2 linked regions of the Drosophila melanogaster genome follow. The protein of the gene in region 2 interacts with the protein of the main gene of each other region in a pairwise test. Each region holds a gene or a part of one and is shown on either strand. Other genes may lie near its edges.

Region 1 (7,263 bases), on a different chromosome or scaffold from region 2:
AATACTTCTCTGCCAGCCTACGGAAACGTGCCCTCCAGCGGATTCTATCCCGCGTCTGGGGGCTCCGCCCCTTACCCAATCATGGGTCCCCTGATGCCCATGCCACCGCCATCCAGACCGTACTGAGGTCTTGGTCCTTGGTCCTTGGTCCTCAGCGAATTAACTGCCATGGCGCATCAGTCTGCAGCAGGCAAGTTTGTACATTTGGTAAGCGGTGAACGAAGGGTGCTTTCATCAGATAAACGTTCTTGGATTTCATAATAAAGTGCTTTTCCCTGACTCTTGATTTCTAGAAAAGATTAATTACCGCTGTGTCATACAAATGCAACATCCGCTTAGTATCTAGATATAAATTCTCTTTGGGGATCACAGCATTTTCGTAACAGTGATTTAATTGTAATAATAATCAAATCATAACATCATCAGCATCATTTGCAAGACCTTTATCCTTATTTATCCTTGCAGAAAGCACCCAAAAAAGTCACAACTCTTAATGCCGTAAAGTTAAAAACTTCTTTATTGTTTAAAATTTCAGAATCCTCTCTTTAAGTACATATTGCTTCAGTTTCATCTTCTGATTACAGTGGGTTAATTGCAAATCAGAGGGAACTTTCTGGTACACACATCTCTGCCTGCACTAAACTATGATATATATGTATATGTGAAAGTATAAATTAAGCGAAAATTAACATTAATATTAGACAGTGGACATTTCTTGTTAAAATAAAAACTTTCGATAAAAAATGATACGGATTGGAGTGTGCATATTGTGGGAGTATGAGGCCAAGGCTAGGCGGCGATTAAAGCGATTCCTTATTGCATATAGTGTGATTGTGGGTTAACGATTTGTTGGAAGGTTTGTGCTCATGGAGTGTGTGGGTGGTTTTCGCTATGTATACATAAACGTATTGCCTATCTCTCGACTTCATTGCAATTCAATTTCAATTTCAGTTTTCCATTTGTGTTTCCTCTTTGAGAGCGGTTAGTCTTTTCTAATTCCAACGGCCTCCGGTTCAATGTATATATGTAAATATATAGATTGTATCGTATTTGCAAAATGTTATATATAAAATATGTTCAACTCTTCCGTTCGGCTCGGATCGGTTCGGTTCTCACTTTAAAAGCTTAATGACTTAAGCGCGTGTTTAAGGCTATTCAAAAATATACTCCTACAATCGCTAGCCATTCGCGTCTGCAGCGCCATCATGACGATCCGAACTCCCTCATCCACTTCTCGTACTTGTCCAGGTCTGCCCGGGACACGCTCTTGTTGCAGCGACTCATGGCCTCGTTGAAATCCTTGTTGGAAACGGGCAAATCCACCTCTTCCGTAGCCAACTGCCGAATCTGCTCTGGGGTCAGTCCTGCGATCTTTCTCCGCATCGACATCATGCTGGCCTCCCTGGAAAAAGAAGAGCACGCATTTTATTCCATTGACATGATTTGGAACTGACTACGCCATTTTAAATTAGTGTATTCTGAACTCACCTGCACACGTTTGTGATGTCAGCTCCGGAATATCCCTTCAGCTCGTTGGCTACGTAGGTAAGATCGACGCTATCGTCCACCTTGACCTCGCGGAGATTGATCTTGAGCAGCGCCTCGCGACCTTCATCCGATGGCAGTGGGATGTAAATGCGTTTTTCCAAACGACGCCGAAGCGCTTCATCGATGTCCCAAGGAAAGTTGGTGGCGGCCAGCACCATGACCACCTTGGCCTGTTCCTCTCCGCCGCCCACGCCGTCCATTTGGACCAGCAGCTCAGACTTCACTCGTCGCGAGGCCTCGTGCTCTGATTCCGATCCTCGGCGCGAGCACAGGGAGTCGATCTCGTCGATGAAAATTGTGCTGGGCGCGTAGAACCTGGCCATCTCGAACAGGAGCCGCACCATCTTTTCCGACTCACCTCGGTACTTGGACGTCAGCGTGGCCGAGCTCACGTTGAAGAACGTAGTTCCGCATTCGGTTGCCACCGCCTTGGCGAGCATTGTCTTGCCCGTGCCTGGAGGTCCCACCATTAACACGCCCTTCCACGGTCGCCGGATACCCTGTTGTAGAAAGCAAGAAGTGATTATGTACTTTTGCTTTAAAATGTTTACAAACTTTCAGTATATATTAATTGTATACTTTCCGATTGTTTTGATCTGAACCACTGTTTTAGGCTGTGTCATTTGCCTAATTCTAATTAATTAAATAATCTACATTGGAGAAGTGAGTACCATTTCTTCCAATCAAACATAAATATCTAATTATCTACTATCCACGTTAAGTCTATCTTTCTTGCTATTGTTTATTCAGTAAGATGGTAAATCGAAAAATGGTGCTGTAGGCTTCTCTGATGCCCATTTCAAACATCTTTCGCCCACGCAAAATTTCATGGTATCCACATTTTAGATGGGGAAAATATTTGTTGGACGGAAATATTTGAAAACAACAAATATTCTTACATATATGGTACAACACGGTCAACATAGCAATCGAGCTCAGTCTCAGGTGTTTGGATCAGTGATTTTTAATGTGACTTAAAGGCGTTAGAAACACATGGTCAGCATTCCATATATATACATAATATATACATAATTATTTATTTTTTTTCGACAGGTTATTATGGATCGATATTCTTTTGAACGCACACATAGTTTGATAAGATAACATAGATAGAGGTACATCATAATCAGCATAATTTCAACAATGGAAACTTTTAAACCGCCCCAAGTAAAAGTAGAATGTGTTGACAAGTTCCACCACCTAGTTAAGAGGGATAAAGCTGCAAGGCGATGCATTTCGTGACAGTTCAGAATAGTTGATCAAATACACATTGCCCTGAGCACTATAATAAAGCGCGTTTGTTGACCCATCGCGAGATAAGCGTTTGGCAGAATGTGATTCACAGAAAACAAACAGCGGGGGTGACGCACCTTGAAGTAGTCCGGCATGAGCATTGGCAGCACGACGGCCTCCTCCAGCAACCGCTTGGCGTCGTGCAGGTCGGCAATGTCGCTCCAGCGCACTTTGGGATCCTTTTGAAGAATATCACGTTCTGAAAAGAGAGCGTTGGCATGTAATAAATGTAGCTATACTAGACCCAAATTTTCATAACTACTACCATTTTTGAAATAGCCACAAATCTTAAAGCAAGTAGAGTAATGCATTAGCTTTGCTTAATAAATAAGACTAGCACATCACCAAATTTTGAACGAGGCAAACCTTGCGGCAACGATTTAGGCACCTACCAAGAATGTCGACTAGCTCGGCTTCGATGTGGTTGTTGGGCTGAAACTTGCGCTCTTCCTCTTGGGCGGCCTGCGGATCGCCGTTTTCTCCATCGCCAGCCGCTCCGCCATTGTTGCCTGCAGCGGTGGAGTCGTCGTCCCTAGCCTCGTTGGTGTTCGATGTGGATAGCTTGCGACCGCCAGCCCTTCCATTGGTGGTGCGTGCTCCGCCGCTCGGTGCTGTGGCGGACGTTGAGTTGCGGGAATTGCGTGTCGAGGCCGGACCATTCCGGGCAGTGCTCTGCGGGATTGTGCTGCTGGGGCGGCTGTTTTGCGTTGCCGGAGTGGTGCGGCGGTTGTTCGGTGCGGCTCTTCGGCCAACGGCCTGAGTGGTGGGTGGTGGCTTCGGCGGACCCCACACATCTGGATCCTTGGGCGGAGGCGTCCAAATGTCGGGGTCCGGCTTGAACCAGGCAGATGGATCTTTACTGGTGGTGCTTTCTTCGCTGAGCTGGTGTCGCAGCTTGTGTGCAAATTTGGTTGACTGTAGGTCCAGCGAGATGTCTTGTAGGGTTCTCTGAATGGCCTTGATTTTGGCGTGCTCCTGGCTAATCTGCTGGTTGATCTGCAAATCGAAGATCAGTTAGTTAAATGATGTCAATGAAATCGTCCGGTATGGTAAATATTAAACTTTTTGAAAATACTTGGTTTATTATGATCTATTGGAGTTTTAGCCAGTTACTTTGTGCCAGTAGTGCTAGAAATTACTTTGTAATTCAAATTTTAGTCATTCGGTAGTGTTCTGATTAAATTAAATCTTTATATGCACGTTAACGATCTAGATAACTCGTTTACACAAAACCTCTTGGGCAATTTTGAATGGCGTTGACAAGATGTTATGACTAAGTCCTTTGTTTGTCATAACCGTCACCATTCGCATTCATTGGCATGGTAGTTGACAGTATCTGGAGGTGGTGATAGGAATGTCTTACCATGCTCCACTTGCCCTTGCGTAGCGGATCCGCGGTGGCCTTCAGCTGGCGGGCGAGCAGCCCCTGGAGGCCCTCATAGTAGATGCAGGCTGAGTCGTAGTTGCCCGTCAGAGCCATGTCCCGTGCTAATTTGGCATTCTCGCATATTTCTTCAAACGTAGTCTTGGCCATTACGGTCATTCCTACGCAAGTGGTTGTCTTTTGCTTGCCACCTCGCAGTAACTGGCGATCGGAACAGGTTGTCGTCATTGTAGCCAAAAACGAGAGACAGAGATTAGTTCCAATTAAAGCGCTCGAGTGCGTGAGTTTCTCCAAGTGTTGCTGGGTGGGAAGGGGAACAATAGAACGGAAGCGACTTCGTCATTCGCTGGCTCGCCTTGCAGGTAAAAATGGAAAGTGCGCCTCCCAGCCAGAAGCGAATAAAGTGGAAAACCCGGCGACAATTGCGAATAATAGAAGATGCCAGTGGCAACGACCCAAGTGAGCTGCTAATTATAAATTATCAGGCGCACAGCCGCCGACTTGTCACCAAATTTAAACGCAACGCGCTCCGATTTTCAATTCCGCCTCCAAGGCGGGACGTGGGCCAAATGCCGATTGGAAAATGTATTAGGTAGTTATGAGCCGAATAAGGCGTTCGACCTTGTTGGCTTTGAATGATTCTTTCAACTCGACTCAAATCGTCGTATGCAAAAAAAAAAAAAAAAACAAAAAACACAATAGTAAAAACAACAAAATTAACGCTCGCACACACACACGCACACTCAGCTCAGGTTTCAGCGGCACACAACACACACTTTCGCACACACGCACACGGGCGCACAATGGGTCGAATTAATGCGATCTAAATAGAATTTGAGTTAATTGCAAGCCTCTGGACACAGCAAACTGCACTTTGCATTCGACACTTCACCGTATTTCTTATTCTTATGCTTCTTATTTTATTTCCAGCTATGTGGGGGCGTCTGCAGCTGCAGCAACCACAAGAGCAACAACAACAGCAGCGCTGACGTCTCGCCGCCGCACACCTACAATTGCAGCTGAGCAGTTCGCGGGCGACTTACGGTTATGGACATTAGTGTACTAGCTTTGTTACGCGGCGTTCCGAGCGCAAAATGAATGCGTAAACTATTTAATTCAGAGTTTAAGGTGCTGCGGTAGCTAAAATAAACTGCTGCCTGCCTGTGTTTGTAATACTAGTGATGTGCGTGCTCTGGTGATGCGGGGCTTATCGATACATCGGCGCGGACACTTGACCACCCTGTTGCGTTCCCTGTGTGCAACAGTCGGCGACTATCGATTGTTTCCAGAGCTGCTAAAAATATATTTCTAAATTTACAACGAATTACAAGAAAATAAAAAGAAAATCTCCGTATCGTGTCTATCGATTATAAATCAATATACAATATGTAAGTATATTTTCCAGTTCTAGAATTTGTCTCCGAGCCACACATTACCATCCCTGAGCGCCACTGCAATAAAAGCTATATTAATCGCTAAAACATTTGCACTACTGTAACACCAGTCTGGCATCGCTGTGATATAGATAAGGCCAGTACGACAAGTCATCGGTTATCGGTTCTTAACATTTCGGCTTAACGTGCTTAAACTCATTTAAATTTAGACACCACTCAAGCGACGGTGCCGCAATGACAACGCCCACGCGCGCCACCCTGGAAAAGGCTCTGAAAAGCGACCAGAAGCTTGTGAATTCCGCCACACAGATAGCCAAGGGCAGGTTTACACCCGCATCCGTGTCGAATGTGCCCTTCTCATAGAGATTCTTTGTTTCCTCCAGATCTGACCGCCAAGGCATATGACATATCTGCTCTGGCCGAGGCACTGGGCTTCGCCCTGTCCTCTCCGGACATGGAGGAGCGTGTGGCCGGAACCAACTTGCTCTCCGCCGTGTTGATAGCACTGCCCCAGGATCTGCTGCAAGAGCGGCAGCTGGAGTTCCTCAGCACCTTTTACATGGACCGCCTGCGCGACCATCACAACGTAATGCCAGCCATTATCGATGGAATCGACGCCCTGGTTCACATGAAAGCTCTACCGCGCGCCCAGATTCCCCAGATTCTGCAGTCATTCTTCGAGCACACCACCTGCCAGTCGCAGACGCGGAGCGACCGCACCAAGCTGTTCCACATTTTCCAGTACTTGACGGAAAACTTCCAGGACGGTGAGCCCTGATTTCATTTTAGCATGAAAGATACATTGACATTGCTTTAATCCGATTTAAACAAGTCAGTGTGCAAAAAAGTTATAATTAGATGATTTTAACTAGTCGAACAGATATTTGCGACAATCTTAGTACCTTTTATTTCCGTTATTTTTAGAAAATATTACACAATATTACAACTCAAACAAATCAATTTTCTTCCCGATACAGAGCTGCAAGCGATGGCCGGTGACTTCGTCTACGGCCTGATCAATTCCATTGACGGCGAGCGTGACCCCCGCAACCTTGACATCATTTTCAGCTTCATGCCCGAGTTCTTGTCAACGTATCCGCTGCTGCATTTGGCCGAAGAGATGTTTGAGATCTTTGCGTGTTACTTTCCAATCGACTTTAATCCCAGCAAGCAGGATCCAGCGGCCATAACCCGTGATGAATTGTCCAAGAAGTTGACTAACTGCCTGGTAGCCAACAACGAATTCGCTGAGGGCACAGTGGTACTGGCCATAGAAAAGCTGGAGAGTGAGTTGCTGGTTGCCAAACTGGACTCCATAGAACTGCTGGCAAGAAAACGTAACATTTTGAAATGCCTCTTTTTATACATGCTATTTATTGTTACAGCACCAAGCTGCCGTGAAGTTCCCGCCTTCCGTTCTGGAGCCGCACTTCGATCAGATATGGCAGGCTCTGAAAACAGAGACTTTTCCAGGAAATGACAATGAGGAGATACTGAAAGCTTCCCTTAAGGCGTTGTCTGCGCTCCTGGAGAGAGCTGCTCACATACCGGATATAAGCCACAGCTACCAGAGCTCTATTCTGGGCGTAATTCTACCGCATCTCAGCGATGTCAATCAGCGGCTCTTCCATCCTGCCACCGGGA
Region 2 (4,852 bases):
GGCTGAAAGCATGAACTGCTGACTTCGGGAAATAACAGCGATAATTGAAAATTATCCAAATAATAAAAGTAGGCCCCTGTTTATTTCGGAACCAATCACGCGCCAAGGGAAACCAAAACAAAGTAAATGCAAAACGCTTCAATCAGAACGCGCCCAGTGAATCGTGGACGGGAGATTCTGATTCTCGAGGGAGCACTGTTGGCACTGCTGCCACAGCTGTCCATCACATTGTCGATGGAATGCTCACTAGTCCCCAACGAAAGTGAAAATTAATTAAAATACTGAACGGTTTGGGTTTCTCGCCCGTTCTTTCCTCTATGAAAGTGCCAGTCCGCATATTTTTGGTTTTCCTTATTTCCATGGTGAAGCCAGCTGAGCTGAGAGCGCGGAATCCAAATATTTGCCAAATAATTAATCATGCCACTTTGCGGCCCAAAATCTCTGACAGATCAGCGCGAAACGCCTTCGTCAGTACCAGTCCCCCCACGCCAAGCCAGCCTGCCTGCAAGCCACTGATAAAGACGCGCGGGATGCTTAGCGCCCATGTCTCGTTGACTGATGGCCGCACCAGGCCCACGATTCGTTTTGAATATCTCGCAAAACGTGGTGCAGGTGGGAGCCGGGCCACTGCTTTTGCACTGAGAGTTTAGTGCGCCGATTGGTCATCACTTCTAAATTAGCCTAATCAATTTTCACCCACGCAGCTGTTCCTGCCGCATATCCACTCCCAAAACGGACTGCTGCTCATAAATCAGTTTATTTTCGCCAGTCAGCGAGCCTTTGAAGGCGTAAGAGTTTCGCGGGTGGGCATGTACAAGAACTCGCTGTCCGTCCAGAAATCCACCAGTGAACGCTGTTGCGGCCGGGCGTCCAGGTGCGCGAAGCACGTGGCGAAGAGCTGGCCCTGCCTGACGTGACGCATATGCCCGGCCGCCACCTCCGACATGAATTTGTCCACCGAGGAATCCTGACCACGGCTCCCACGCTCCGGCACCGCTCGTAGGCGCAGCGTGTGCGTCTCGGTGGTGTTCACGTCGACGAGCACGGTGGAGGTGGCCTGCCGGTTGTAGACACTACGGTTTGGCACGTTGTCCACAAAAACGTCGAAGTGGTCTACGCTGTCAAGGTCATGGGTGATCCAATGCAACGACAGCGAGCCTCCGCTCAGCCTGCACGCTCCACAGATGCTCACCGGGTAACTGAGACGCGCTGATGGAGGACGTCGTTTTCCATGCAGATCGGACTGAGCCTGTCGGCGCACTTCTGACGCTACGCATAGGTCCATGAAGAAGTTCTTGGCCAGTAGCTTCGCCTCTAGCCGCTTCTGTCCCTCGGGAGATTTGAAAAAGTCGGACCTCTTGACCGCCCGACGCATGTCCTGGCAATGGTGGCAATTGCAATCCTTTTGGTATGTCTCGCACTTGGAGGAGGCATCCTCGACACCGGCACTACTTTCTTCAGGCTGACTGTTCCCCGCCTCCTCAGGGCTGACCAGAGCGAAGGCGTACTCTACATTGTCGGGGGTGTCCTCGCTCTTTTGAAGGGGGCTCTCTAAGGCGTTTGCCCGAGAACCTCGACTTCGGCTTCTGGGTGAACTCCGGCGGTAGCTCTTTCTTGATAGGTTTGATCGGGCGGTGGTTTCTTTCCTGGACTTGGGCGCTTTAGCCAAGTCCGCTCTTGAATTAGAGGTGGCCGAGATTTTGGCAGTTACGTTGGGTAATGGACTTTGCTTCCGCCTCAGGCTCGATTTGCTCGATCGCCGTGATCCCTCAGAAGAGTTAGGCCCAGATGAACTAACCATTGCAAATATGGGTTCCATTGCAGGTGCTGACTGCTTATTTCGAGGTGACATCTTGGGCGACTTTCTGGGTGAACTAGAGCGCGAGGTCTTAAGTTTCTGGCGAAAAGATTTGCTGCTAAAGCGATTTCTGGAAGTAGGACGTCCTTGTGTGTCCGCTATCTTCTCCTGATCGGTAGAAATCTTCGAGGGACTGTTGTCGAATCCGCTTCCCAAAGGATTCTCCGACGAGCTCGCCAAATTGCATGTCACACTGTTCAATGCGGTGTTTGCGGAAGTGTCTGTTCGGTAGTCAGCCTCCTCAGTGAGACCCACTGGCGTGTAGCCAGTCAAAGGGGTGATGTCAGAGAGGAGGTTGGAAAGGTCGTAGTTCGTGTTATTGAATGAGCAGTTGGAGAAATGTGAGGTGGGCGTTATCTGGGAGGTGCTGGGCACAGTAGTGCGGGTGGGCGAGTCCGTCAGAAGCGTATCATTGGACTTGCTCATATAGGGATTTTCCTCATCTACCGCCTGGGAGCAGGAGGATGTCAACGAACGCTTGGAATTTGGCACAGAACCGCTGCGTTTGATGAACTTGTGAAAGAGATGTTTTACAGATGTGAAGGACTCTCCTGCCCTGACAAGGCCCACTGTGTTCTTAAGGAACATCCTGATCGAGGTGGAGGTCGAATCGAAGTTAACTGTATCACGAGAGTTTGAGGATCCACCTTGAAGCAAGGCACTGCTGTCCAGGGCTGCCGTATCTTCGGTTACTGACAACCTCGCCGCGGAGTGCTCCTTATTTCGTTGGTTAAGGGAACTGTTGCTGGTCGTGCTGGTGTTGTTCCGCTGACCCGAGGTAAGCGAGCTTTGGCTGCTCTCCGGGTTGACAACCACGAACACTGGCGGTGCGGGTTGCGTCCGAGCGCTTGATCCACTTTTAATGGAACTTTTGAGTGTGCGGCTGGGCATCGGGTTCCTCCTGCTGCCTGACGGAGCCGCAGGTATTTCGTCGGGCAACATGATGCTCACCCTCTTGGACATACTTATAATTTACGGAAGAGAGATTTGTGGTATCTTCTACGATTGCGAAATAAGTGTATCTATCGAAATATTAAGTGTGTAGGCTTTTCCCAAACTGCCAACTGACGCCAAGGCAACTTTACCTACCCTGTTGTCACCAGGAGTGTGCCCCTTTTATACAATGCAAAAGCGGGGCTCGCATTCAATCATCTTTAATGACGACTAATGGCTGGACCCGCGGGCGAGGTCAGGATGTCCATCCATGACTTGACTTTGTCGCCGGAAGTTGGTAGCCGAGAGACTGGCCCGCGATTGCGCATAATTTTGTCAATGTTCGGAGCATTCGGTGGGCGGGGCAAATTTGCATAACTCGCGGACCTTTCAGCTCGCATTAAATATGGCCAAGGCTAGCGTACGGGGTCCTCAAGGCCCCCTAGTTATATTTGACTCTAATTAGAGCTGCAGGGGAAATAATGAGTTGGCGTTGAGCGTTGGGTCGTGCCGTCGTGATAGGCCGTGAATTTAACAGAGTTTGAGGTGCACCTTTAAGCTCGCTTTTCTTTGAGGCTTATTATTCGGCTTGGCTGCTCATAAAAGAAGCAAATGATTAACCGACACGCCGCATTGCACATACGCCTCGTCGCCAGAGCTACAACCAGGGCACGCAAGTGTATTAAATTATTTTTGCTTTATGATTTATCTAACACGAAATACAACGGAACGCCATACCCTGTCTCTCTGGGCTACGTTTCGTTTCCAAAATCAAAAGCTCTTGCACAAGTCAAAAAAAGGAGAATCGCATTTTTTTCTCACCTTTATTTGTATATTGAGTCACTGTGCTGTAGAAGCAGTAATACATCGCTGGTGATAACATATAATATCTGGCTTTGCCTTTTGCTAAGCGGTTGCTCGCAACGGGGCATCCAAGACATCCCCTGCTCGGAACTGACTGCGGGTGGCAAATGCTTATTTCACCCGTGTCCCGACATTTGAAATTGCTTAACGGCTGGTTTTTATCTAGCACATACCAAATTCAGCTCGTACAACAACGCTAAATCATGAAAAAATGTTATTCCTAGGCCAAATGGCTGCCTCAGATGCGTTTTACAGTCACATCGCCGAATTTTAATACAAATAAAAAAAACTCTAATGGAATAAACGAAGGTCAAATAAAAAATATTGTGTATAATTGATTGAGGTCAATTGACGACATTAAGGCGCGTGTCTGGTCAGTCAAGTTTAATCATTTCTCTTGTTGATGGCTGTTGCCTGCCCAGTGATCCCATGGGATGGCCTCTTAAATGAAATGGCTTGTCTACGGCTAGGACTAAGCGGAAAATTTAACTTTTCCGCTTTCGCTCGTGAAAAACCTATCCAAAAGTTTGATACAGGAAAGAAAAAGTTTCCTGATTTAGAAAAAAGACTGACATATTCTTTGTTGTTGCCAGCAGCTATTTGACGTTTTCGGACTCTTTTTTTAGTTGACTCGCGAAGTGCATTTATAGTGGACAAGATGAATAAGTCAAGAAAAGAGCAGATTTTACCTTTAAGCCAAAACAGTTGATCTTTCAAAACCTAACCCTTTTAAATATGTTAAGTTGAGCGGGTGATAAAATTAAAAGGTTAAGACCCCAACGATTAAATGTGCTTAACCATGTGTTACAATTTTTCTACTCCAATTCTCCCCAAGACATGTGTTAAGACTTTTGAGCCTGGGCAAGAGTTCTATTTGCCGAAAATTACCCATGCCTCGGCAAAAGAGATTGGCATCGGCAAGGCCACGGATAAAACGCAATACACAACCTGAAAAGAAGATGGCGCCGATAAGTCGAAGCTTAGATACCCTTGCAATAAACACAAATATGTGTATTTAAAGCAAGAGAGAACGCTGTAGTCGACTTCCTCGACTATCAGATATCCGTTACTCAGACAGTAGGAATGGTCCTGCTGGCTAAATCATAACTTTCTAGCTTTTTTTATCCCGAGATCACAGCGTTCATATGGACGGAAAATGGAACATGGGACGATATGTGTATAATCATAACATTATAT

What was found.
Region 1: the proteins of CG7856 (region 2) and Kat60 interact in a two-hybrid assay, tested with the Drosophila melanogaster proteins (one large-scale study listed by BioGRID).

Annotation. Positions count from the first base shown.
Region 1 is NT_033777.3:5,226,789-5,234,051, forward strand, and holds Kat60 (katanin 60), read right to left. Parts: upstream 5,422-7,263; 5' UTR 5,281-5,421; coding exon 5,269-5,280; intron 4,526-5,268; coding exon 4,205-4,525; intron 3,838-4,204; coding exon 3,234-3,837; intron 3,041-3,233; coding exon 2,919-3,040; intron 2,049-2,918; coding exon 1,489-2,048; intron 1,403-1,488; coding exon 1,204-1,402; 3' UTR 501-1,203; downstream 1-500. Other genes in the region: Vps37B (vacuolar protein sorting 37B), read left to right, coding at 1-126; Mms19, read left to right, coding at 5,854-5,938, 6,003-6,386, 6,597-6,946, 7,005-7,263.
Region 2 is NT_033778.4:6,056,615-6,061,466, forward strand, and holds CG7856 (uncharacterized protein), read right to left. Parts: upstream 2,945-4,852; 5' UTR 2,822-2,944; coding exon 770-2,821; 3' UTR 743-769; downstream 1-742.